7 linked regions of the Callithrix jacchus genome follow. The protein of the gene in region 5 interacts with the protein of the main gene of each other region in a pairwise test. Links are inferred from orthologs where the notes say so. Each region holds a gene or a part of one and is shown on either strand. Other genes may lie near its edges. The genes, in order: TRIO, DISC1, GOLGA2, KIF5B, CDC5L, SFR1 and YWHAZ.

What was found.
Region 1: the proteins of CDC5L (region 5) and TRIO interact in a two-hybrid assay, tested with the Homo sapiens proteins (2 studies listed by BioGRID and IntAct). The link is inferred for Callithrix jacchus from reciprocal best matches to the Homo sapiens genes CDC5L and TRIO.
Region 2: the proteins of CDC5L (region 5) and DISC1 interact in a two-hybrid assay, tested with the Homo sapiens proteins (2 studies listed by BioGRID and IntAct). The link is inferred for Callithrix jacchus from reciprocal best matches to the Homo sapiens genes CDC5L and DISC1.
Region 3: the proteins of CDC5L (region 5) and GOLGA2 interact in binary tests that used the Homo sapiens proteins (3 or more experiments, as listed by UniProt). The two-hybrid records come from large-scale screens. The link is inferred for Callithrix jacchus from reciprocal best matches to the Homo sapiens genes CDC5L and GOLGA2.
Region 4: the proteins of CDC5L (region 5) and KIF5B interact in a two-hybrid assay, tested with the Homo sapiens proteins (2 studies listed by BioGRID and IntAct). The link is inferred for Callithrix jacchus from reciprocal best matches to the Homo sapiens genes CDC5L and KIF5B.
Region 6: the proteins of CDC5L (region 5) and SFR1 interact in a two-hybrid assay, tested with the Homo sapiens proteins (2 studies listed by BioGRID and IntAct). The link is inferred for Callithrix jacchus from reciprocal best matches to the Homo sapiens genes CDC5L and SFR1.
Region 7: the proteins of CDC5L (region 5) and YWHAZ interact in a two-hybrid assay, tested with the Homo sapiens proteins (2 studies listed by BioGRID and IntAct). The link is inferred for Callithrix jacchus from reciprocal best matches to the Homo sapiens genes CDC5L and YWHAZ.

What each region holds. Positions count from the first base shown.
Region 1 is NC_133503.1:190,740,438-190,743,937, forward strand, and holds part of TRIO (triple functional domain protein), read right to left. Parts: intron 1,875-3,500; coding exon 1,627-1,874; intron 1-1,626. UniProt on the Homo sapiens protein: Guanine nucleotide exchange factor (GEF) for RHOA and RAC1 GTPases. Involved in coordinating actin remodeling, which is necessary for cell migration and growth. Plays a key role in the regulation of neurite outgrowth and lamellipodia formation.
Region 2 is NC_133520.1:52,906,638-52,909,195, reverse strand, and holds part of DISC1 (disrupted in schizophrenia 1 protein), read left to right. Parts: intron 1-310; coding exon 311-449; 3' UTR 450-2,558. UniProt on the Homo sapiens protein: Involved in the regulation of multiple aspects of embryonic and adult neurogenesis. Required for neural progenitor proliferation in the ventrical/subventrical zone during embryonic brain development and in the adult dentate gyrus of the hippocampus.
Region 3 is NC_133502.1:176,868,508-176,872,007, reverse strand, and holds part of GOLGA2 (golgin subfamily A member 2), read left to right. Parts: intron 1-1,191; coding exon 1,192-1,250; intron 1,251-1,579; coding exon 1,580-1,721; intron 1,722-2,529; coding exon 2,530-2,619; intron 2,620-2,725; coding exon 2,726-2,833; intron 2,834-3,025; coding exon 3,026-3,113; intron 3,114-3,475; coding exon 3,476-3,500. UniProt on the Homo sapiens protein: Peripheral membrane component of the cis-Golgi stack that acts as a membrane skeleton that maintains the structure of the Golgi apparatus, and as a vesicle thether that facilitates vesicle fusion to the Golgi membrane.
Region 4 is NC_133508.1:31,791,297-31,795,510, forward strand, and holds the start of KIF5B (kinesin-1 heavy chain), read right to left. Parts: upstream 2,801-4,214; 5' UTR 2,362-2,800; coding exon 2,236-2,361; intron 1-2,235. UniProt on the Homo sapiens protein: Microtubule-dependent motor required for normal distribution of mitochondria and lysosomes. Can induce formation of neurite-like membrane protrusions in non-neuronal cells in a ZFYVE27-dependent manner.
Region 5 is NC_133505.1:52,878,076-52,881,575, reverse strand, and holds part of CDC5L (cell division cycle 5-like protein), read right to left. Parts: intron 1,564-3,500; coding exon 1,401-1,563; intron 1-1,400.
Region 6 is NC_133513.1:97,125,274-97,129,510, reverse strand, and holds the start of SFR1 (swi5-dependent recombination DNA repair protein 1 homolog), read right to left. Parts: upstream 2,801-4,237; 5' UTR 2,781-2,800; coding exon 2,768-2,780; exon of another isoform or gene 2,683-2,767; intron 2,196-2,682; coding exon 2,074-2,195; exon of another isoform or gene 2,029-2,073; intron 1,452-2,028; coding exon 1,056-1,451; intron 1-1,055. UniProt on the Homo sapiens protein: Component of the SWI5-SFR1 complex, a complex required for double-strand break repair via homologous recombination. Acts as a transcriptional modulator for ESR1.
Region 7 is NC_133517.1:96,020,124-96,023,623, reverse strand, and holds part of YWHAZ (14-3-3 protein zeta/delta), read right to left. Parts: intron 3,367-3,500; 5' UTR 3,356-3,366; coding exon 3,062-3,355; intron 1-3,061.

The sequences.
Region 1 (3,500 bases), on a different chromosome or scaffold from region 5:
GGATCGTAATTAGCATAATTCTTACGGATCCCAGGATTTTCAGAATGGTAAATGTGCATTGGCTTCAACTTAAAGTAACCAGCTGCATTAGCCCCTAACCCTTTCATGTTATTGGATTAGCTTTCCTTAAACATGAACCAACCTCTGCTGGTTTCCAACTTTTCTTCTGCAGTTTCCTCATCTGTCTCAGGCTTTATAGAACTGGAGAGAGAGGGGGCCTTATTCTGGGTTGGGCTTTGGCTTAAGGCAAAGTTGTGGCTTGATCTTCTGTTTAGAACACTCAAACTTTCTCTGTCTCAGAAAAGGCTGTTTCACCTTCTTACTATTCGTCTGTTTAGTGGGTAGCACTTTTATTTCCTTTGCATTCATGATTTGGCTGTTTGGTGCGAGAGGCCTAGCTTTTGGCCTGTATCCACTTTTGACATGGCTTTCTCATTAAACTTCTAACTTTTGATTTAAAGTGAGGGACATGTAAACATTTAGAGGCCACTGTAGGGTTATTAACTGGTCTAATTCTGATATTATTGTGTTGCAGGCAGGCCTGAGGAGAGGGAGACAGATGGGGGAATGGACAGTTGGTGGAGTAGTTAGAACACACACATTTATTACGTTTGCCATCTTGAATGTGTGCAGTTCACAGTTGCTCAAAACAATTATAATAGTAACATCAAACATCACTATGTATCATCATAACAAATATAACAACAAAATGTGTCAATATTGTGAGAATCACCAACATGTAACATAAATACAGAGTGGGATCACATGTTGTTGGATAAATGGCACTGAGAGACTTGCTTGACATAGGGCTGCCACAAAACTCGTGTAAAAAGCCAATTCTTCAAAGCACATTAAAGCAAAGCACACACACAAAAGAGGCGTGCCTGTGTCTATGCTGGTATCTATGCACACTCCCTACTGGTTCTGCTCCTCTCAAGGACCCTGACTAAAATGGGGCCTAAGAATGTATTTTGGAGAAAGAAAAATAGGTGATATTTTCCCCTTGGGTTAAAAAAAAAAAACCAGCCAGGTGTGGTGGCTCATGCCTGTAATCCCAGCACTTTGGGAGGCTGGGGTGGGTGGATTATGAGATCAGGAGTTCAAGACAAGGCTGATCAATGTGGTGAAACCCTGTCTCTACAAAAAATACAAAAATTAGCCGGGTGTGGTGGCGTACACCTGTCGTCCCAGTTACTCAAGAGGCTGAGGCAGGAGAATCGCTGAACCTGGGAGGCGGAGGTTGCAGTGAGCCAAGATCATGCCACTGAACTCCAGCCTGGGTGACAAAGCGAAACTCCATCAAAACAAAACAAAACAAACAAACAAACAAAAAACACACTTTTGTGAGTTATGACTAACACAAAATGCTGTCAGATGGGATTCCTTAACAATGGGCTAGAGCAGACTATTTCTAAATGCAGATTATTCAAAGACCCTGTGAGCATGAGTGTGAGTGTGAGATGGAAGGCCACCCATCTTCCCATGTGCTCAGAGCTGAACTGGAATGAACACCCCAGTGCTGCTCTCCCTTCCACATGCTTACCCCGGTTGGGGTCTTGTGCCTCAAGGGCGCTGTGGCCCCTCCCTCTGCTGCCTGCCCAGCTGCTGTTGCTGTCAAGCACTCACTTGAGAGTCCCGTCGGGGTTCTCCATGATGACTGCACTGGTGTGGCCCAGGACAAAGCCCGGAATCCAGCCCTCGGCTGCAGGGCACTGGTCAGTGGCGGCTCGGAACACCAGAAACATGTTCTGCTGGTTGCTGGCCAGAATCTGAACGACCTCTCCTTGGTAGACGTTGATCTCATCCTCCTTCACTGCCGTGTAATCGTGTGTCACCAACATGGTGGAGATGTTGCTACTGCTGCTGCTTTCACTCTGCAGAGGGACAGATGAAGACAGAGAAGGCAGGGGGAACTGAAACAAGGCCTGATCACATGAAGTCCTGTGCCAGTGTGCCCCGCGGCACCATGACCCAGTGCAGGGCTCACCGGGCAGCACCGAAACTTTCAACTTTTTCTTTACCCTCTGGCTAACTCTGTGCATCTATTTCAATAACTGAAAATGTGGGCTCTCTAGAAAGCAATTTAGGGATGCTCTTAAAAAATTCACTGCAATAATGACTCTGGTGTTGGGAGCTGGTCACACTGTGACCTTCCTTGCACCCTCACAGGAACATCTCAGACCTCATGTTAACGCCATGTTAGGTTACTCCTTTTTTTTTTCAAGACTACAATGTCACTTCTCATTTACACGTTAGGCTATTCCTAAGCAAACAGCCGTGTCACTGTACCATTATCAGTTGAAAAAAGGTATTCAAATTAACTGATGCAAAATTAATCTTCATCTCACTGACAGATTCCATAATAGAGAAGTCCCCAAATCTTCCAGATAGAATGTTCACTGGGAATGCATATTTTAGAATCATGCTAAGTTGCTGACATGCCTGATCATTTCTATTTCTTTGCTTCAAAAACAACATGGAGCACCTGAACATAAATCGATCACTATTCTGCTCTTATGGAGAGCAGCTCTGTCTCCAGTGTAAGAGCTTGCTGGGAGTCCCTCTTATGAGCTTGCATGACTCAAGTGTCCTCAAGGCTATTGCCATGGGAACACAACACAAAGCATCCCAGTGCGGCTCACCACAGGTGCTGTGACTCAAGCTTTGGGAACAGATTCTGGTGTGGGATGCGTACCCCGCCCCACTTAAGCCTCTGCCCCCATGGGACCAGGTCTCTTTAGTCACAGGGCTGCCATGCAGCAGGAACTCAATTCATGGTGAGTGGCCCAGTCAATGAGGCCAGAGTGACTGGTAAGACAAAGAGCGTTTCTTAAGGCCCTACCCAGGCCACACACTGAGTGGGGTTAGCTGCTAAGAAGAAACACAAATGGCAGTGTTTGTCCCAAACTCCCATCTAGCGCGTGGCCTATGGCTCTGGGTGGAGGAGACGAACGCGCAGATCCCCCGCCAGCTCCTGAGGCCCCTCTATGGAGTAGAATGTGAGAAATGGCATCTGGTGCCTTGTTCCCGTGAACTTGTGCTCAAAGGCCTCCACCGAGGACACTGTTGGGATGTTCATGGATTCCCAAGACTCCAAAGGTGCTAGCTTCTGCTGGGCTCTCCGACGCCCTGGGTAAATCCTGGGTCAGTGCAGACACAATTAGAACACCCTGCTCTACCGCCTCTCAGCCCTGGTCTACTGAGCTGGTATCAGGACATGCTGGAGCAGGTGGTGGACTGCTGTAGCTCGCCAAGAGGACCGGAGGGAAGAGACCTCTGGCCCTCCTCCACGATGTCAAGCATGAGAGAGCCAACAAGCCAGCCACTGGGAATTCTAGGTACCAGGGCTCTGAATCGAAACCTGTAGTGCATATTTAAAATAAACACGGTGGTGCTGCCCGGCTCCTGTCCTCGTCTCCGTGGAGGAGTCTGCTTCTGTTCTCGTCCCTGTGGGTGCCCACTGTTTGCCTGTGGCTCCTCAGCTCAAACAATGTTGTACA
Region 2 (2,558 bases), on a different chromosome or scaffold from region 5:
TGCCAACCACAGATCATTGAGCATCTGAGGTGGCCATCTGTCTCAGCTAAGAGCTTACTCTTCCATTTCCTTTTTAAGACCTGATTTGAGATAGTCAGTACCTCAGGCATTGTAGAAATTGCAATTATTCTTAAAAGAAAAAGTGTAAAATTTGTATTAATATTTAATTCCTACAATTTGAAAGAACTTGAAACTGCAATTAGATGGCAGTGCCCATCTGCTTCCAGGGGGCTCACATGCTCTTCCATCCCTTGGAGGCTGCAGAGGGCCGCCATCACCTTCGGATGTGCTCCTTAACAACGTGCCCACAGTCTCTCAAGAGGGAGCTCCAGATGGTGAAGGAAACTCTGCAGGCCATGATCCTGCAGCTCCAGCCAGCAAAGGAGGCGGGGGAAAGAGAAGCTGCAGCTTCCTGCATGACAGCTGGTGTCCGGGAAGTGCAAGCCTGAGGAGTGACGGGATGGGGGAGGGAGGTGGGCCACCATGTCAACAGTTTGGACCCGGGGGTCTACTCTCCCTTCCCACTGCATAACTAATGTGCCTGAATCAATTATGGAGACACAGAGCCTTGATGTCTTTCAGTGGAAAGGTGGTTCATGTTCATTCTCATGAGTCAGAAACCGAGGAGTCTGCAAATTGGAATATGGAGAGGGAGACTGATTTGCTGAATTTGCTTCTAAATGTCATTAAAAATTTTCTTTGCCATGTCATTCATGGGAATGTCCTGCACAGGATTCAAGAATATTTTCATTTCAATCCCCAGTAGAGAGAAGCTGGGGTGAATTCTGGAAAAAAATATCTCTTTTTTCTACACCATTTGCCTTCTGCTGTAACTAAAACATTTCCTGATTCAAGATTCTATAAAAAGGAAACCAAGCATAAGACTCTGTCATCCTACCTGTTACACGTTCCTACAGGTGCACCACTAAGAGAGCTAATTAACCTCAGAGTCTGGAATTAACAGCTTTTCACCTTACTTCTCCTGTGATCTAATATTATCTTAGAAAAATTACTATGCAATTTCCAAAAGATATTTTAGTTAGGCAGCAGCCTGTCAGTGATATGCCACCTTTCAGTTTCCTTTTGTGGCAATGATTACATCTGAAGAAAGGATCCTCGAGAGTCTCTGTTTCATCAGGACATTCTGTAATTTACCTGTAGTGAGGCTGTGAATGGATCAGGAGACCCGAATGAAATGTTTGAGCCTGTTCTGTTTTCCCATGGAACATATTTCACTCAATGCCAGGCAGTGCAGCATTTAGGAAAGCAGTGCAGTACTCAGTAATACAGTACAGTACTCAGGCAGTGCAGTACTCAGGCAGTGCAGTACTCAGTAAGGCAGTACAGTACTCAGAAATGTGCAATATTCAGTAAGACAGTACAGTACTCAGGAATGCAGTGTAGCGCTCAGTGAGGCAGTACAATACTCAGTAACACAGTGCAGTACTCAGTAATACAGTACAGTACTCAGGCAATGCAGTACTCAGGCAGTGCAGTACTCAGTAAGGCAGTACAGTACTCAGAAATGTGCAATAGTAAGACAGTACAGTACTCAGGAATGCAGTGTAGCGCTCAGTGAGGCAGTACAATACTCAGTAACACAGTGCAGTACTCAGTAATACAGTACAGTATTCAGTAAGGCAGTGCAGTACTCAGTTACACAGTGCAATGCTCAATAAGGCAGTGCAGGGCTTAGTAAGGCCGTGCAGTACTCAGTAACACAGTGTAGTACTCAGTAGGACAGCACAGTTCTCAGTAACACAGTGCAGTACTCAGCCAATGTAGTACTCAGTAAATCAGTGCAGTATTCAATAATGCAAGGGCATTGCGGGCTCCTGCTGGGCTCTTCCTGCAGGCCAAGCTGGGACTCCTATTGAGACAGCTGCAAAACAGGCTGATTTCAATTAGGCAGCACTTCCCAAAGTGCACTTAGGAAGGTGGCCCCAAGAGGTGCTCTCTAACCAAAGGAGTCCCCCTCTCTGGTCAAGTACCTTTGGTAAATACACCATACCATCATATCTGCTTGGAGAGCCACAGGACACATTAGCATATTAGTCTGTGAGAGAAGTTATAATAAGGAAAGCCACTTGATTTTATCTAACCTCAAACTTTCCAAGTTTAATGGATCATGAATTTTTTTCATGTAACTCCTATTCATATCCCATAGATCTAGTATTGGTCAGCGCTGCACTCTCCGAGGAAGTCCTAGTCCAAACACTGACTTATATCATTTCAGAAACCACACTCAAACTTGTGCAGATTGGTAAATTTAATCCAGTAAATGTTCTGTTTGTGCTTCTGTCCTCATTGATATGTTCAGGGATAGTGAGGTTCCTGCCTTCACTAGGATCCATGGATACGAGGCCATTTTGGTCATTTCCTGAAGTCACTGGCATTTCCAGAAGGCATCTGGTGCTTTGCTGAGCCTTCCATACTGTGCAGCACTTCTGTCCTCAGTCGAGGAGATGGCCCTGCTTAAGCCAGCAATTGGCTGGGGTTCAGGAAACGAAGCAAAAGCACCATATGTGAATGTGCTGATTGTGTTCCCTGCGGCTTTA
Region 3 (3,500 bases), on a different chromosome or scaffold from region 5:
CTGACCAACATGGTGAAACCCCATCTCTACTAAAAATACAAAAATTAAGGCCAGGTGTGGTGGCTCACGTTTGTAATCCCAATTGGAAGGCCAAGATGGGTGGATCACGAGGTCAGGAATTCAAGACCAGCCTGGCCAAGATGATGAAACCCCATCTCTCTAAAAAAAATTAAAGAAAACAAAAAAAATTAGCTGGGTGTGGTGGCATCTGCCTGTAATCCTAGCTACTCAGGAGTCTGAGGCAGGAGAATCGCTTTAACCTGGGAGGCAGAGGTTGCAGTGAGCCAAGATGGTACCACTGCACTTCAGCCTGGATGACAGAGCAAGACTCCATCTCAAAAAAGAAAAAGGAAGGACATTGGTGTTGAGGTTGGCATATGTATCAAGAACACACAGTAACTACCAAGGCTTCCCAAGTTTTGGCAAAACCCAGGCGTTTTGGGTTTTTGGTCATATGGTTGGAGCATTCCGGGTATCCCCTGGGGTTGCAGCTCTCTATAAGTTTGGTGTGGCTGAACCAAGAAAGAAGGCATATGCAGATTTCTACAGAAATTGCGATCCCCAGAAAGATTTTGAGGAGATGAAGAAGGCTGGTTTTTGTAGTATAAAGTCATGTTGGAATAGAAGGAATTTCTTCAGGTTGAATTACCTAGAAGTTTGTCACTGACTCGGGTTCCTGAACTATGACACATGAATATGTGGGCTAAGAAATAGTTTCTCTTGATAAATAATTAACAACAACAAAAAATGAGATCAGTCAGGCGTGGTGGCTCACGCCTGTAATCCCAGCACTTTGGGAGGCTGAGGAAGGCAGATCACTTGAGGTCAGGAGTTCAAGACCAGTGTGGCCAACATGGTGAAACCCCATCTCTACCAAATACAAAGATTAGGCAGGCGTGGTGGTGCACACCTGTAGTCCCAGCTACTTGGGAGGCTGAGGCAGGAGAATAACTTGAACCTGGAAGGCAGAGGTTGTAGTGAGCTGAAATCTCACCATGGCTCTCCAGCCTGGGTGACAGAGGGAGACTGTCTCAAAAAAAAAAAAGAGACCATGGGCTTGGAAATGCCTGGAAAACATGTCAATGTGATTGAGGAAGTATTACTGTGGAGTAGTTACTGTAGCTATTGTTACTGGTTGGCCAGCTGCTCCTCTCCCTGCTATATCCTGACTTAACCTTTCTGTATTTGCAGTACAATAAGGAGTTAACCAAAGAGAGAGATGCCCTCAGGCTGGAGTTATATAAGAACACGTACGATGGGAGATGGTGGGATGGGAGGTCTGGGGGCCCTTAGCATGGGTGGTATGCTGGGAGGTGGGGGGTATACAGGGAAGCATGGTGAGCTGGTCATACAGGTTTGCATGTGTGCCCAGCAAAGCTCTAGTAACAGCTGTGCCACTGACATGCATGGTGTAGCCTTGGGCAACTCATGTTGTCTCTCTGGCCTGCTACATGTGACTTTTGATTCCTGGGGTTCCTTCCAATGCCATGGTTCTGTGGTTGTGGGGCAATGGGGTTGATCACCAAAACAGTCTTTTCTGTTCTTCATTCCTTTCTTTCTTTACTGCCTCTGGCCATAGCCAAAGCAATGAGGACCTGAAGCAAGAGAAATCGGAATTGGAAGAGAAGCTTCGAGTCCTAGTGACTGAGAAGGCTGGCATGCAGCTTAACTTGGAAGAACTGCAAAAGAAGTTAGAGATGACTGAACTCCTGCTTCAACAGGCAAGAGGCTGCAGCCCTGGGAGTGGCTAGAGCCCCATCCAGCTGAGGCCATGCTCTAGGGAATCATGCACGCTATGGGGAGGCTTCAGCCAAGAGCTGGAAAATTTCGGTTCTTGTTCTGGTCCTGCCATAGAATCCTCTAGAGAGTGCTAAAAATCTACAAATTGGGGTCCTGCTGTAGACCTGGAGAATCAGAATCTCAGGATTAGGGCTTAAAATTTTTTGTTTGTTTAAAGCATCATAAGTGAAAACCATTATTTTAGAGATTACATTTATATGGCTAGCTCATGAGTCTGTTTATTTCCTTCTGAGGTTCAAGGCAACACTTTCACTATTCCATGGTAATAATAGAGAGTAGATTTTTTTTTTTTTTTGAGATAGGGTCTCGCTCTATCACCTAGGCCAAAGTGCAGTGGCGTGATCTCAGCTCACTGCAACCTCTACCTCCCAGGCTCAAGTGATCCTCCTGCCTCAGCCTCTCAAGTAGCTGGGACTACAGGTGCACGCCACCACATCTGGCTAATTTTTGTATTTATAGAGATGGGACTTTGCCATGTCGCCCAGGTGGGTCTTGAACTCCTGAGCTCAAGCAGTCCACCCACCTCAACCTCCCAAAGTGTTGGGATTACAGGCATGAGCCACCATGCCTGGCCTGAGATCTTTTTAAGATTATTTTTTATTTCTAAGGTAAACTTGACAGCAGAATTTTATTGACCAAGTTGAACATTGAGCCTAGCCCTAGCCCTTTTAAGGGGCACTGTGTGGAATGGCCTGGGCTCCCCACATCTAAACTCTCTTTAACATCCAGTTTTCAAGCCAGTGTGAAGCCCCTGATGCTAACCAGCAGTTACAACAGGCCATAGAGGAGCGGGCTCAGCTGGAAGCACACCTGGGGCAGGTGAGGCTTTGCAGGGGAGGGATGTGGAAAGAAGATGACCCCAGGTGGCCAGGAGCAGGTGAGGGCCAGTGACAGCCCTTCCTAACTTCTGTAACCATTCTTGCAGGTAATGGAGTCTGTTAGACAACTCCAAATGGAGAGAGATAAATATGCAGAAAATCTCAAAGGAGAGAGCGCCATGTGGCGGCAGAGGATGCAGCAAGTATCAGAGCAGGTGAGACCTGACCCTTCAGGTCTAAGGTTGTTTAGGCCTGAAGCAAGGGCCCAACAACCTTAGATAGGTCACTTGATCATTGTGGGCATCTGTAAAATGGGAGAAGCACAACCAGAGGTGGTCATGGGTCTGGGCTTTGTGGAGATGGTAGCCTATCCAACCACCAGCCCTTTCCTGCTGTGCTTTGGACAGGTGCACACATTGAGGGAGGAGAAGGAGCGTAGCATGAGTCAGGTACAGGAGCTGGAGACAAGCTTGGCTGAACTGAGGAACCAGATGGGTAAGCTGGGGCTGGGGTGACCTGGGAGTAGGACTTTTGTCAGAGGGCTTCAGAGATGGCTTAGAATGCCCCAGGGAGCTGGCACTGAGGCAGAGGGAAAGAGGTTTGTGCCAGGAGATGGCAAGTCTTGTCATCTCTATGAGCCTCAGTGTCCCCATCAGCAAAGAGGGAGGAGTGCTGGTTGTCAGCCACCCACAGTTGTCATTATTGAATAGTGGCTTGGAAGACTGGCTACCATCCAGGTGCAAGGAATCATTAGCAGGGAGGCCAAGTATGGGGAGCCTAAGAGGAGCTGTGGACCAAGAGGAGGGAGGGCATTTTTTGAGAATCCAGAGGCCCTTATCGTCTGCTTCCTTTTTCAGCTGAGCCCCCGCCCCCAGAGCCCCC
Region 4 (4,214 bases), on a different chromosome or scaffold from region 5:
AACTTAAAAGCAACTTTTTCCAAATGGAAACCTAGAATGTATGTTTCCTTTATTCATTTTCCATTAGTTTTTTCTTCATAGTTTATGCCATATTTGGGCCTCATCAACGGTTATGTTCTAATCTTAATATATTTTATGAATCCTAAATTTTAGCATTCCAACAAAAAGAATCATAGTGGTAATTATAGATTTGTGTAAACACAAAATCTGAAGAAATAAGACATTCTTAAGACAAGCGTAAAAGAAAAACTAGGTTTGATGTGCCAACCATTGCTGAAGCTGAGTACTATAAATCACAAAAACTCTTAAGCAACTAGTAGCCTCAAGTTTGACAACTCTTGCAAGCCTCCTGACTACATGTAAAATATCCCATCCTAAAGGAAAAAGATTACTGCACTTAACTTCTCCTCTGCTGGGCTATGATGTCATTTACACAAGAGATTTTCTTGTGGACTTGTTAACAAAGAACCGGCTTGACAGTCTTTACACAGTAATAGCTGGCAGTTGTTAGTGGCCTAATGACTTGTTTGCCAAAGGACTACCAAGGAGCTGAGACATTCATTTTTTGGAGGTGAACTTTGGAGAAACTTTCACATGGAAACCCTAAAGAACTTTAGTCTGTCTTCAACGTCAATGCTTTCAATCATCCTTGTCCCATTTCCTGTGACCTCTGCCCTACTTCCAAATTAAATAGCCCAAACGCAGTATTACAGAATGGCATTAGGCCAGGCGCGGTGGTTCACGCCTGTAATCCCAGCACTTTGGGAGGCCGAGGCGGTCAGGTCATCTGAGGTCAGGAGTTCGAGACCAGCCTGGCTAACATGATGAACCCCGTTTCTACTAAAAATACAAAAAAAATTAGCGGGGCGTGGTAGCGCACGCCTGTAACCCCAGCTACTCAGGAGGCTGAGGCAGGAGAATCGCTTGAACCCAGGAGGCGGAGGTTGCAGTGAGCCGAGATCGTGCCATTGCACTCCAACTTGGGCAACAAGAGCAAAACTCCGCCTCAGAAAAAAAAAGACATTAGAGGAAAAATTAACATATTAAAATTTCATACGATAACAAGGTAGAAATTTCTACTAATAGCAATACCAACAAAGATCAACATAATTTAGTCACAGTTCACTGTTTTGTATGCCATACAATTAATTTTTAATCTCCTTCAACTCAGAGTGCTATTTTCAGTGCCAGAGATCAGTGCTATTTTCAATGCCAGATCTTTCAATGCCAGAGATCAGACCTCAAAAAACCCTCACATTCTGGTCTCACTGACAACGGTCATTAAATTCTAGTTATGTTTTACATTACAAAAAAACAGTATCTCACTATTCTTGGGATTATTAAAGATCAATTTTCTTCAAGATAGACCTTAATTGCAGATGTATGAATCTAACACTTTTTCTTTTTTAAAAAGCTTGTTTCTATATTGCTTTCTGTATGACATAAAAACAAGAAGTTAATACTTTCTCCTAGGCTGTTATCCCACAAAACCCAGCAAGAGTGGGATTTGTCTTTCGGAGCACTTATTTGACCCAACCAAAGTCGGCTAGGTCTGTTAGATTAAACAAAATTGATCATTCTGATTTAAAAAAAAAAAAAAACTCAACTATTTCTTTCTACAATCCTCGATTTGCCATTTGTAACTGTTCACATGAAAAGTCATTCATCACTCAAAACGTGGTGAACGTCTGAGGTGTAGATAATATTTGTAGCTGTTTGGTGCTTTTTCCTTCTCCAAGGGGGAAACAATACGGTTCAAGGACTGGTTATGTGTTTCCATAAAACTAAGTACCTTTATTAAAGTATACCACCGCTTGTCTCAGAGCTCAATGCCCCAGCTAAACCTTGTATTAGCACTACATATTTTTTGAATGGTAAATTTAGGGTAGTCCAAAACACCAACAGCATCCGTAACTGCACACACAGATACGCAGACAAACGTACACTGAACTTGCTCCCCGGACATTCCTCCATTGCCCCAGGTGGGGGAGTGTCCCGGGCTGAGGCTGGGCGCCTCCCGTCTCCCGGCGCCGAAGACTGGGGAAGGGGCGATCCAGGAACGCCCGCGACGCTGCGCAGTCTCCCTCCCCTGGGTTATCTTAACTGGCAAACTCTGCAGAAAGGGTTGGGGACACTGCCGCTCCCTTTCACTTCTGCACCCTGCCACTTCCCTAAACTCCCCGCACCGCCTGGACCAAAGAAGCGGGGAGAAGGGTGCCGGAGAGGGTCACTCACCGCGATCACGACCGTGTCTTCTCCCTGAAACTTGGCGACGTACTTGTCGCCGCGGTTCACCTCAGACTCGTTGAGAGGTCTGAAGCGACACATCACTTTGATGTTGCACTCGGCCGGGTCCGCCATCTTTCTCGCAGCCGGGGCCGGCGGCCGGGAGCCACTCCTCGCCGCTCAGTCTTGGAGGGAGCGCGCCGGGGCTGAGAGTCTTGGAGTCGCAAGGGCAGTGAGGGGCAGCAGTCAGCCTCTCCGCGCTGCGCTTCCCCGGGCGGAGGCGGCCGGGGAGCCGGGACTCGAAGCGCCGGCGCCGGCAGCCGTTGCCCTGAGGCTCACTTCCTATCCATCATGGCAGCCAAGGCGGCGGCGGCACCGGGGAGAGCGTCGCGGCTCTTCAGCGTCCCCTTCACCGGCCTGTGCGGGCTGCGGGGACTGAGGAGGTTCTGGGGGCCGGGAGAGTGGCCCACTCTTTCCTCCTCGCAAAGAACAGGCCAGGCCCACCCGTCTGCACGCTCTGCGGTTTGCTGGCCGGCCGCTGCCGGATCACTCCAGAGGCCGCAGATGGGCTACTGGGCGGTGCGGGAGGAGGACTGCGCAGGCGCGATGGGCCGGGCGGCCCGGCAACCAATCGGTGCCCGCGTTCGCACCCGGCTGCTGCGGCCGTGCCGCCGGTTCCGCCACCACTCCCGGCCCGGGGTCGCAGATTCAAATTTTATTGCAAGGACCCTCTCGAAGAAGTTCCTGGGGACGCAGTGCGGCGACTTCCCTCCGCATCCCAAGCTGCAGAAGAATTCCCCAGAGCCAAGGCAGACGCACTTAGCTTTCTTTTCTTTGTGGGAGAAGGGGTTTGCTTCAGCTACTTAATGTCGTTTAAATAAACCACTAGGCGGGTCTGAGTGCGATGGTGTTTGCAACTAATTGATCGCAGCCAGAGATTTATTTATTTTCCACTGCCACTGTTTCACATGACTAGCTTTAAAATTAAAATGTGAAGTACTATATTCCTATAAGGAAGTGTTGCTTTCATTTTTGTCTGGGGGAAAAAATCATTCCTGGCCAACCTTTTTGGAACACGTTGCCAGAAAAAGGTAGGATTTCGATGAAGGGTAGCTCTTTCCTGAGAGAATGGGATGTGGGGAGACAGGAATAAGAAAGAAAAAGGAAATTTTTCCTAGGGAATGAATAAAGTTGCAAAGAAATGTGGAACAATAGGGTGAGGAGGGGGAAGAGCCGTCAGCCCCCTCACACAGCCTCCGTCACTCCAGCCGCCTAGTGCCTTGCATCCCAGCCCCGCACCCTCGCCTCTCCCACGCAGTTCAGCGAATTCCCGCCACTTCCCCGGCACTAAACATACGGAACTCATCAATCCCAATACTAGAGTAATGACTGACCTGGAGGATAAAGATAGTCTTTTTAAAAAGCTTAAGTAAATTTGTGCATTACATATGAAAACCATTCCATAGTTGACTTTGCCTTCTAGTTTTAGAAGATGAGTACCATAAAATTCCATGGGAAGTGGCTGTGAGGTGCTGCAGAAGGAGAACATGCACGATTGTTGCATAGGTACATACATGGCATTTAATTTTTTTTTTTTTTTTTTTTTTTTTTTAGACAAAGTCTTGCTCTGTCGACCAGGCTGGAGTTGCAGTGGTGCTATCTCAGCTCACTGCAACCTCCACCTCTCTGGTTCAAGTGATGCTCCTTTCTCAGCCTCCTGAGTAGCTGGGACTACAGGTACCTGCCACCACGTCCAGCTAATTTTTGTATTTATAGTAGAGACGGAGTTTTACCATGTTAGTCAGGCTGGTCTGAAACTCTTGACCTCAGGTGATCCACCCACCTCAGCCTCCCAAAGTGCTTGGGAGCCACTGCACCCGGCCTTATTTTTTATTTTTTGAGAAAATATGAAGTTATAGTGCTTTACACTAGCTCTCATCTGAATCAACACATTTTCTTCTCTTTATCTTCTCAGCATATATTTCTAT
Region 5 (3,500 bases):
ATATATACAGCTACTATGTATCTACAAAAATTAAAAATTATAAGAAGAGAAAGGTCTCAAAAAAATCAGCCTAGTATTAATTCTAGAAAAATAATCCTGACTTCAGAACTAAGATAAATCTTTGCTTTGTTTTCTATTCTTCCTTATTCCCAACATTCAGACCAATCGAAAACTTTCACCTGTTATTACTGAAGATACTCTGGGATATTCCAGTAGAAGGTTTGAGGACAGGGCAAAAAAAAGACCCCTATAATTTTCATTTGAGGGAATACATTTCTGACACTGAAATGTAACAGCAAATGAAAAGAACAGGTTCAAAAGTTAGTTTGTCCTTGGACTAATAAAATGCACTCTGAAAGATATCTGAATTTGTATGTGTGTGTTTATTTTTAATAGAAATACTGAATCCCATGTAGGCAAAAGAGAGTCAAGTCCTGATTACCAAAAAAGCCTCCTGGTACCCAGAGTTTTCCCAGAATATTCTCACCACATCCTCAGCTCGCCTTTCCAGCCTCATTTCCCACTACTACTAACATGTACTAGGTTGTGAGGAACAGATGGGTTGTTAGGTCCAAAACATCCTCCGTGCTCACTCATATTGTGGTCTCCATCTGGGACAGCCTCCATCTTCCTTCAGAACCTACCTCCTCAATTAAGGCTTTCCTGTTACCCAACAAATGTGATTATTCCTTTCTTTACCCCAAGCACATTGGTTTTACTCAAAGGGCTTATTCTGTTCTGATATTACAATTATTTTTGGACTTAGTTTAGTACTGCCAATCTCCCCAGAATATAAATTTCCTTAAGACAAAGGACATCTTTATTCAACTTTAGATCCCTCAAATGTCCAAATGCATGCTCTGCATGCATGAAGTTCTCAATGTTTAATTCTTATGTATCCAGTCAGAGGTGGCTTTAGTTGATATCAATTTGGACTTTAAAAAAACATATATAAATCAACCAAATATATACATTAGGTTAGAATTAATTTTAAAATGAAAACAAGCCAGTATCATTAGAAGTTATTTTTTTAATTTCACAATGATTTCTGTAGCATCAGATAATAAGGCCCAATAGCAAAGTAATAAATGCAATTACATGTGCAGAAGCAAAACTTAACTTTTACAATTAGCTTTCTACTTCACCTTGCTGAAGAAAACTTCAGTAAAATCAACAACAAACATCAATATTTGTAAACCTAGTAAGCATAAGGAAAGGTAGGTTTTGAGCCCAAAAGATTCCCTCTTTCATCAAGTCTTACAAATCATTCTCTTTTTTTGGCATCCACAGGTGTATAGATTCTTAAGGTATACGTGATATGAACTAACAGGAGAAATTTTAATTTGGCACCCATGAGATATAAAAAAAATTAAGAGTTTTAAAAGGGAATTGACATTTACCATCTGCTTCACGTAAGAAGGATCACTATAGTCTGCCATTCCATCCTCAGGATTAATGTTTAACTTGTCTCGAAGAGGAGTCCTACCCGGCGTAGAGTTAATAACTGGTTTGGGAGTTGTTCCACTCCGGGGAGTCAGCCCTTCAGTTCCATTAGAAGGAGTCCTAGAAAGACAGGAATCCCAATTAACAGCAGCGCTACTTATATTTTAGATTGTGCTTTCAAATGTTTGTCACATAAATTATTTCGCAGGAAATAAAGAAATAAAGATTCCAGAAATTCTGTCTAGCTAGTTTCATTAGGCTCTCTAGGTTAAAATCAATGTTTGGTCGAGCTACCATGTTATTTAAACATAATATTTTTACTTTTTAACTGTCAATAGTCATTACATATGATATTTTCTAGCCTTTCTAATAAACTAGGTCCACTAAACATTATTTCAACCTTTTCCAGGCACATTAGGGCAGCTAAGAATATGCAGTGGGCAGGGAGATGGGCCACCACACTCAATGACCAGATTCCTCTTTGAATTTGGTTTTGTCTCCTCCCTAACAAGCTGTTGGCTCTCGCGCATCATTATCATTGTCATTACTACTGATGTACACACTTTAAATAGTTCCTCATTTTACATTTTGTTTAGAAACCAAATACCACACTTTTAGAATCCCATCTAAACATGAGTAAGCTCCTGAGGGAGGCCTAAGAGAGTCTCCTAGGAATTAGATCCACAGACTTTGCAGCAACCCATATTTTAATTATTCAAAGTCTTTTTTTTTCCTGGTTGCCTATTTCCTGTATATTGGTGTGTTGCAGAATGGTGATGCTGCCAGACAGCTATTCCTGATAGGTAAGGTGTTATCACATAAGACATGGTCCCTGTCCCCATGGATTTTACAATCTAGGTGACAAACAAGACGTACAGTTGTCCCTAAGTATCCACAGTGATTGGTTCCAGGACCAAAATCTGCAGATACTCAAGTCCCTGATATAAAATGGCATCGTATTTGCATATAACGTTTGCACATCCTCCCATGTACTTTAAATCATCTCTAGATTACTTATAACACTTAATACAATTTAAATACTATATAAATAGTTGTTATACTGTATTTGTATTTGTATTATTTTTTACTGTTGTACTGTTTGGGTTTTTTTGGGATTCTTCTTAAAAAATGGCAGCTTAAAACTAAGCAAAAGAGTTATAAAAAAATACTAATTCTAGTTAATGCATGTGGAAGTGCTTAGGGATCAAACAAACTGATATCTGCAAGTTACTTTGAAATGCATTTAAAAATATGATGAATTGATGGATCGATAGGTGATAAAGCAAATACACTAAAATACTAGCAATCTTAGAATCTAAGTGGTGGCATGATGATACGGATGTTCACTTTAGCATTTGTCAACTTAAACAGGTGAGAGACTGGGTCTCCAAAACAAGGAGTTTATTCAGGAACAACAAGGGATGACTGTGGGATATGCGTGCTATGACAGACCACAGGTATACCCGAGGGTGCTGGGGCAAGGGGAAGGTTTTAATGATAAAAGGGAGAAGTCCATGAAAACTGCTTTGAAATAAAGGCCACTGGTTACAGGGACTTAGCACAGGAGGTGGCATTTATTTTCATTGCCGATATAGATAAGAGCACCCCTTATCTGAAATGTGGGACCAGAAGAGTTTCAGATATGGAATTTTTTCAGATTTGGGGATATTTGCATTATACTGGTTGAGCACGCCAAATCTGAAACTTCGAAACTGAACTGTTTCAACGAGCATTTCCTTTGAGTGTCATGTTGTTGGTGCTCAAAAAGTCTAGATTTTGGATTTTCAGATTTAGGATGTTCAACCTGGTAGGGCAATGTCTTCACAGAAGCAACTTATCTGGAATTTGTGTGGTTTTCAGAAGATCTCTGCAATAATTTCTGTCATGGGCATATGCACATGAGGGTTCCTTTTTCATGAAAATATTACATAAGTGATTCCATTTCAATACTGATAACTTCCACACATTCTTTCAACCTCTCTAAATGCTTGATATTTTCAAAATAAAATGCTGGGGGAAAAGCAACAGTAATACATACACAAAAGGATTACAATCTT
Region 6 (4,237 bases), on a different chromosome or scaffold from region 5:
GATCACTTGAGCCCTGGAGTTCAAGGCTGCAATAAGCTATGACTGCACTCCAGCTGGGCAACAGAGACCATGTCTCTTAACAAAGTATAAATGAAGGAATGAATAAATAAATAAAATTTTTCAACATTCAATAATTTTTTTTTTTTGAGATGGAGTTTCGCTCTTGTTACCCAGGCTGGAGTGCAATGACGCGATCTCGGCTCACCGCAACCTCCGCCTCCTCAGTTCAGGCAATTCTCCTGCCTCAGCCTCCTGAGTAGCTGGGACTACAGGCAAGCGCCACCATGCCCAGCTAATTTTTTGTATTTTTAGTAGAGACGGGGTTTCACCATGTTGACCAGGATGGTCTCAAGCTCTTGACCTCATGATCTAACCGCCTCGGCCTCCCAAAGTGCTGGGATTACAGGCTTGAGCCACGGCACCCGGCCTAATAATTATATTTTTTTCAAACTCTAAAAATTTAAGATAAATGAGATACTCTATCCCATCATTTATTCCACGTAGTTGGGGGAAAATATGCTATTACATATATATGAATTTTTCAGGTATTAAAGGTTATCTCCTTCCAAATTCTACTTAATTCAACCTATCTAAATCTAAAGCCTAATATACATTTGTTTTCTCAAATAAAATGGCTGAATCACATCAATTATTTGGCGGGGGAACAAGATGATTACTAAAAATACCTTTTATTGTACTCTACAGCTCATTTTTAGTTTTACTAATTCACTGTCAGCTTTCCCTTCTGTTACCATCGTACTTTTATCTAACATTTAATACTTACATTCCTGCAAGCTAGAAACTACAGAGAAAAGTTTAACTGCATATTAAATAAGAGCTGAGATTCTTTAAAAGTTTTACCCTAGTGTTTACGGGCCTTTTCTACTATAAATCTGGAGTTGAATTAAAGTTGTTGGAAGCCAGGTTTCTGAATGTTTGGCTTATTGCTTATTATGCTTAAAAAAAGAAAAAAAGCTCCTACTTTCTATTTTTTAAATTACTTTCCTGCAATTTATATAAAAATAAAAATTATGCAATGGTCCTCAAATTCTTACCTTTGATCTATACATTTTGACTAGTTTTAGCCTCCGAAGAAGGTCTTCTTTCTCCTGAACCTGCTTCACCAATTTGGCTTTTTCATCGCTTAATCTTTGTTTAGGCAGATTCTCATTCACAAACTCATTTTGGAGAGCACTGCATGACCCAGAATTAAGCGACTGAGAGTCACAGACACTGAGATTCTTCAAAGTATTTTCTTCAAATTCACTGTCCATGTATTTAAAACTTTCTTGAAATTCCAAACAGTTTTCCTCTGTGGAAGATGCTGGTTTCTCTGAAAAGGTCTGATCATTTTCTTCATTCTCTACTTTAAGACGTTTCACCACATTGTAACAAGAATTAAATGAAGATCTTGATTTCCTTAATCTTTCTCTAAGTGTTGCACTCATAGGCTGTAAAGAGCACAAAACATTAAAAATGTTAATCAAGAAGAACATTCTTGATGTAAATAAATCTATCAGAAATAAAGGCCTTACATTTCTATGCTAGACACCACTAGGTGGCTGTCTCCATATCTAAAGAAGGCATCACAAAATGTCTTTAATTTCTGGAAACTCCATTTGTTTTATTCTCTTTTTAGTTCAGCAAGATCAACACCTTTCTAAAACTGTTGAGAGGTTTGTCCCAGTAATTAAGCATTTGTTCAGGAACAAGCACATGCCTGACAGTAATCCAGGTGCTTCAGAATTACAGAGTAGGGAAAAGACCTAGACCCTGCCACTAAAGACCTTCATAATAATACTGCACAGATTCACTTTCTCAATTTGGTGAGTGTTGTAATAACCTAATCTGAAAGTAACTGAAATGAATTAATTCAAGAGGAAAACATGGCGGAAGGCTAGTGGGTATCATATATGTTAACTTAGAAGAAAAACATAAAATTATTTAATAAAATATCTACTTATTTAGGCTACACATTATGTTAATTAACCATCTTTAGTAGAATTTAAATCACCACTGCCACAATACCTAGAACACAGAATGGATCCACTGGAAGAACAAAGATGTTCATACTTGTTTTCGTGAACTACTTGTATAGGGAGACGATGGAATTGCAGAGACCTGAGGAGTGTTAGGTAAAACTGCAGCTGAGTCTGATGGACTTTCCATCTTGAAAATGAAATCTTGGCTTTTCTCTAAAAAAGAAAAATTATAAAATGAGAATCAAAACCACACCTCTCTATAGTCAATTTTTATGACTATTTTGTGTACAAAACATCCACAAGTAAGACAGATACTTCTTCAAATTTCACTTTATAATTCATTCTTGTTCTTTTTGCAGTTTTCCATTTACCTTCCCACATAGGGACTACTAATTTATTCATGACACATCAACCAGCTAGTACCTCACAACCAGCTATTATCTCATAGTCACGACTCTCCTTGTTTTCATCTACCAAAAAATATTCAAATTCTGCCTTAGGAGGAGGGGAAAAAACAGCTTTAGAAAATCAGGAATTCAAGGAGAGTGCACTGGAATTATTTCCTCCGACAGAGGCATAAACTTTTGCGAGGCAAACCAGAGGCAGGAGTCCCTCTTCCCCCCCCCCCCGCCCCCCGCCGCAGAAAGCCCACTAGATCCCCGGAGACTCCAGGGATGAGCTTAGGTTCAGTTCCCCCGACCCGGAAAGGGAGCTCAACTCGACTCCACAGCAGACTCCCGAGGAAGTCCAGGTCTCAGGTAGCCCCGTTCCCTGCAAAAGAGTACCTCCCTCCGCCATCCCCAGCGAAAGCAAAAAGCGCGCGCAGTTGCGGCCGTAAATCTATCCTGTGGCAAGGCGGGGCAGTGCGAGACACGGAAAAGACACGCAATTGGCCAGACTGACTGACGCGTGAGGCGCTGCTTTCACTCAGCGACTGAGAGCGGCGGGTCTGCGCGCGCGCCTCCGCCAGTGGGCGGCTAGTGCGGGACTTGGCCATGCGATAGGCTGCCGAGACACGTGATTGGCAGAATTAACTAGCGCGCGCGGCTCTCCCCGCCCAGCACCCGAGAGCAGCGGGAGTGCGCGCGCGTGCGCGCGGCCGTGATCGGCAAGCAGGGCTTAACCGGCAGGCGAGGCTGAGCTTCGGAACGACCAACCGATCCTGAGGGGGGCGCGCTTCTGTTCCTGGCTTCCCTTGCCTTTTTTTCAACCGCCTTCCGTCCGGCTTCCTTGTTTTTGTGCGTTTGTGAAGTGCGCCTGAAAGGGGCCCCGCCCCGCGCTCGGCTCCTCCATTCCCTGGCTCCCGTCAGTCTCCTCTACCAGCTCACCGCAGAAAAGGCTTTCCTCAGACTTGGCGCGGCCGGAAGCTGCACGGCTGGGTGTCCGTTAGATTTACAGCTTGTGGACTCCCTAGAGGCAGAGACCACAAAAGAGCAGCGTTGAAAAGAGCCTGTTGAGAACAAGACATATTAGAAATCTATCCGAGAGTCCCGGCACTTTAGCTGAGCTCCTCGCTTTTTGGTTGCCGCAAATTCGGCGGTCGCGTCGCTAAGTTTTTTGTTTGTTTTATAACAAAAAATTTGTTTCTCTACCTCAGTATTCAGGCTCCTTAGGGTGATCTCAACTCTTTTACTCAAATCTGAGGGAAAATTTAGCCCAAGGAAATTTGTTGTGGCGCAACACAGCAAGCAGAACAATCACTAAATGAGATTATGTCGGTCCAAAATTCAGATGTTTGACACCGATAGGGCCCTTGCCGACCACCAGGCAGCAGCATCCTCAGTCTAGAAAATCCACCACCCCACCCCCTCGGCTTCCAGTGTGGCAAGTTTCTGTGGCTACGCGACGACGAAGTTAACTACACTGGGTGGAGCACTGGGTTTAGGGAAAGAGTTGAGTAACTTCTGAGTCACGTGGAAGTTGGGACTTTCCAGAGGCCAGTGTTTTCAGTCTTCTTATTGAATGGCCATTTTAAACATTTATATCGTGTTTTTACTATTAGTAACATCTGACAGTAATGGCTTAGAAGTGGCCAGAAGGGAGTTACCTGAGTCTTACACAGTCAGCTATAATAAATACAGAGCCTGAGGACTACCTAAAGCCATGATTAGGGACATAGACGTTAGAGTCAGATTGTCTAGGTTCAGATCCTGACACTATGCTTTATACGCTTCTTAATGAGGTGATTCTGTGCCTCAGCTTCATCTGTTAATAGGGGACTGGTGGATTAAATGAGAACTAGTAAGAGGCAACTA
Region 7 (3,500 bases), on a different chromosome or scaffold from region 5:
TTACAAGCAGGTTCACACTTTTAAACAGAACAGAAAAGCTGAGATAAACAGGACACAGAACGTAGTCAAGGTGCTTTACCTGACTCTCATTCCTTACAATCCTGTGGGATGAGTATTATTCCTACTTAATTGAGCTCAGTTTTCTCAGAGGGACTAAGTGATTTCCTCAGGCCATGCATCTATTAAATGGTAAAACTAGTTTGACTCAAAATCTTGAGCTCTATTATTCATCTCGACATACTTCTTTTGAGTTTGAAATAGGCCTCCAAGACTGTATTTCCTTGGTGTTCACTTCATCATGTCTAAGTTAAAAACTACTCAATTTTTGGCTGCCATCTTTCAGGTTTAAAGAGGTACCAGTGCTAAGTCCCTCCCCAATTACCAAGAGAGCTTTTGTCTGAGCATCTGGCAGGAAAGGCAGATTGTTCACATATTGCAGTTTCAAATTAACACATGAAGAGAAGAACCCCAACTTCTTTTACATAATGAAAAGTCCACATTGTGAAGAACATGCCAGTGACCACTTCCCATGGTAATACTCTACTAACTGTTGTAAAAAGCAACATGGTCCCAACTCTTTGCTTATTAAATGATTAAACAATTAATAAATACAGGTAACCAGAATGGGTTACCAAAGAGCTCTTCAGAAAAATTCAGAACTTTGGAGATTAGTTGCTTTTTGTAGGAAGAGTGTATTTTCATAGCTATTATAAAACAAGTGCTCAATATAAAAAAGCTGGTTATCACTAATGCCACCAGCCAATACTGTTAATTCTGCAAAGGAATAACCTGCTTTTCTCAAATTAAAAAAAATATATATATCAAAGCTCAGAAAAGTCTGGAGTAATAAAAAAATATTAATTTTTTTATCATGTAAGATCTTAAAAATATAATTAAAACACTTTTACTAATCATTAAGTACAACAAAACCTTCTCTGGTAGAAACATCAGTTCTGCTACATTTTATTCTTCCACTTCACTAGAAAGGGGAAAGGGCATTTTATGCAAGATGGTGCTAGAGTCAACGTGACCTCTTTGAAAAAGGTGGTAGGAAAAAGAAGCCTACTATCTGTAAATATCAAATTTTCCCAAGCAGAAATAGAAAAAGCCAGGGAAATTTTGTAGTGCTGCTGACCTAATTCTATCCTTTTTCTCAAAAGAAGCCTTTATGCTTAACAAATATTTGAGCATCTACTACACATTATGAGTATGCAAAGATCACTAATATTCTTAACAAAAGACTAAGGCTGGAAGCAAATGCTTGCTTAGAATTCTCTTCGAAGCCATCTGTGTAGTAAAGGAATTAAACTCTCATTCATCCAAACTTTCAAAGGGGAAATGCCATTTAACCTTTTAGAGAAGTCAGTGCTATTCTGGAGGATAACATGAGTAGGAACCAGAATCAACCTCCTTAATAATCCGAACAAAAAGAAGCTATTAATATTAAGAGATTATCTTGTCATTCTCACTTACTGGTTCTACGCAAAAAAATTTCTTGATAAGGAAACCAAAGGGAAGCATAGTTAAAACTGCTACAAGTTGGACCAGATGCGATGGCTCACGCCTGTAATCCCAGCACTTTGGGAGGCCAAGGTGGGTGGATCACCTGAGGTCAGGACATCTGGCTGACATGGTGAAACCCATCTCTACCAAATATACAAAATATTAGTTGGGCGTGGTTGCGTGTGTCTGTAATCCCAGCTACTCAGGAGGCTGAGGCAGGAGAATTGTTTGAATTGGAACCTGGGAGGCAGAGGTTGCAGTGAGCCAAGATAGTGCCATTGCACTCCAGTCTGGGCGACAAGTACAAAACTGTTTCCAAAAAAAAAAAAAAAAACACCTGCTATAAGCCTTTTCTTAGGAAAAGACAATGACAGGAACTTTTATACTTTGCATGCACATACCTACCTGGTATTACAAATAAGCATGTTAGTAAAAAGTAAATGTTAACATTCCTTTTTGTTCCTAAAATTGACTTTTGTCTTAAGGGAAATTTTAACTTGTAACACATCCTTTGAAGCCAAAATAAACACTTTTTGATAAGCTGTAACTGGGCAAAACACACCAGACTGAACAAAAACTGAGTAATATGTACACAGATACAACCACATCAGATATTATCCTATTATTCATTATAGCAATTCTTCCACAAGGTTCATATAGTAAGTAACACACACGGATTTCCATCCCGAGTCCCAGATTCAGTAACCTGTCCAGAAAAATCGAAATGCTGTCCCTCTTTGTATATCAGAGCCCTGCCATACTGGTAAGTATAACCACTTAGTAAAACCACTTTAAATATTATTCTAAAGACTGCCAGCTTGGTTGGATTTTCTACTAGTTTATCCTCAAATTTAAACTATTCTTGATCAAAAAGCCTTGCTTTTGTATGACAGATTAAAACTAACCAAAGTTTAGTTTAATTCTTTTAAGTACAGTGCTTCAACACAGTAAGTACTGAATACTTAAAATACTTGATTCAAACTGGAAAGTCAAGCTTTGAGTTATCCATAACCTTTCATCATGGTTGTTGAGTATTCAAAATTTACTTTCAACAATTCAATGCAGGAAGAGGTTTCATAGTTGTGAGGCCAGTTTTCTGTATGACTGACTCATTACAGTAACATTATAGCGGCTAATCCAAAGAGTACTATTTCTACAATGAGTATCCTACTACATCTCTCACATTAAATATGCAAAATTCCTTTATCCATAGATGTACATTTAAGACAATCAGCTACAGAGCTACTACAAATATTCTAACCACAAGAAAAACAGTAATACTGTTAGTTTTTCTTTTCAATTAATATAAAATAGAATACTAAAGTCTATTATTTTTAACAAAACAACTGTTTCATAATCATTGTTGCAATTATTCTACATAAACATATCTATAATTGTATTAACATCTTTTTAGTCATGACACCATAAAGACTTCTAAATTTGGAACACACAATGTTAGAAGGAAAAGAACAAGGAAAGAAAAAGTTGAGAGTAATGTAACTGATACTCATAGGAACCCTACAGTGTAATGAAGCCAGACTGGATGTGGAATTCTCACCAGTACATCATTGCAGATATCTCTTAGCTCCGTCTCAATTTTCTCTCTGTATTCTCGAGCCATCTGCTGTTTTTTCTCAGCACCTTCCGTCTTTTGTTCAATACTTGAGACGACCCTCCAAGATGACCTACGGGCTCCTACAACATTTTTATAAGCAACCGAGAGAAGATTCCTCTCCTCATTGGATAATTCAGCTCCTTGCTCAGTTACAGACTTCATGCAGGCTGCCATGTCATCATATCGCTCAGCCTGCTCGGCCAGTTTGGCCTTCTGAACCAGCTCATTTTTATCCATGACTGAATGTTCTGCAGGGGGGAAAAAAGGAGTATTTAAAATTTTTCCCATCAAAATAAACAGTCAAAATTATACCTGTGGTAAGTGAGCCTTATTAAAACCTGAAACATAATTGCCTGTGGAAAATCGTTCACATGATTAAAAT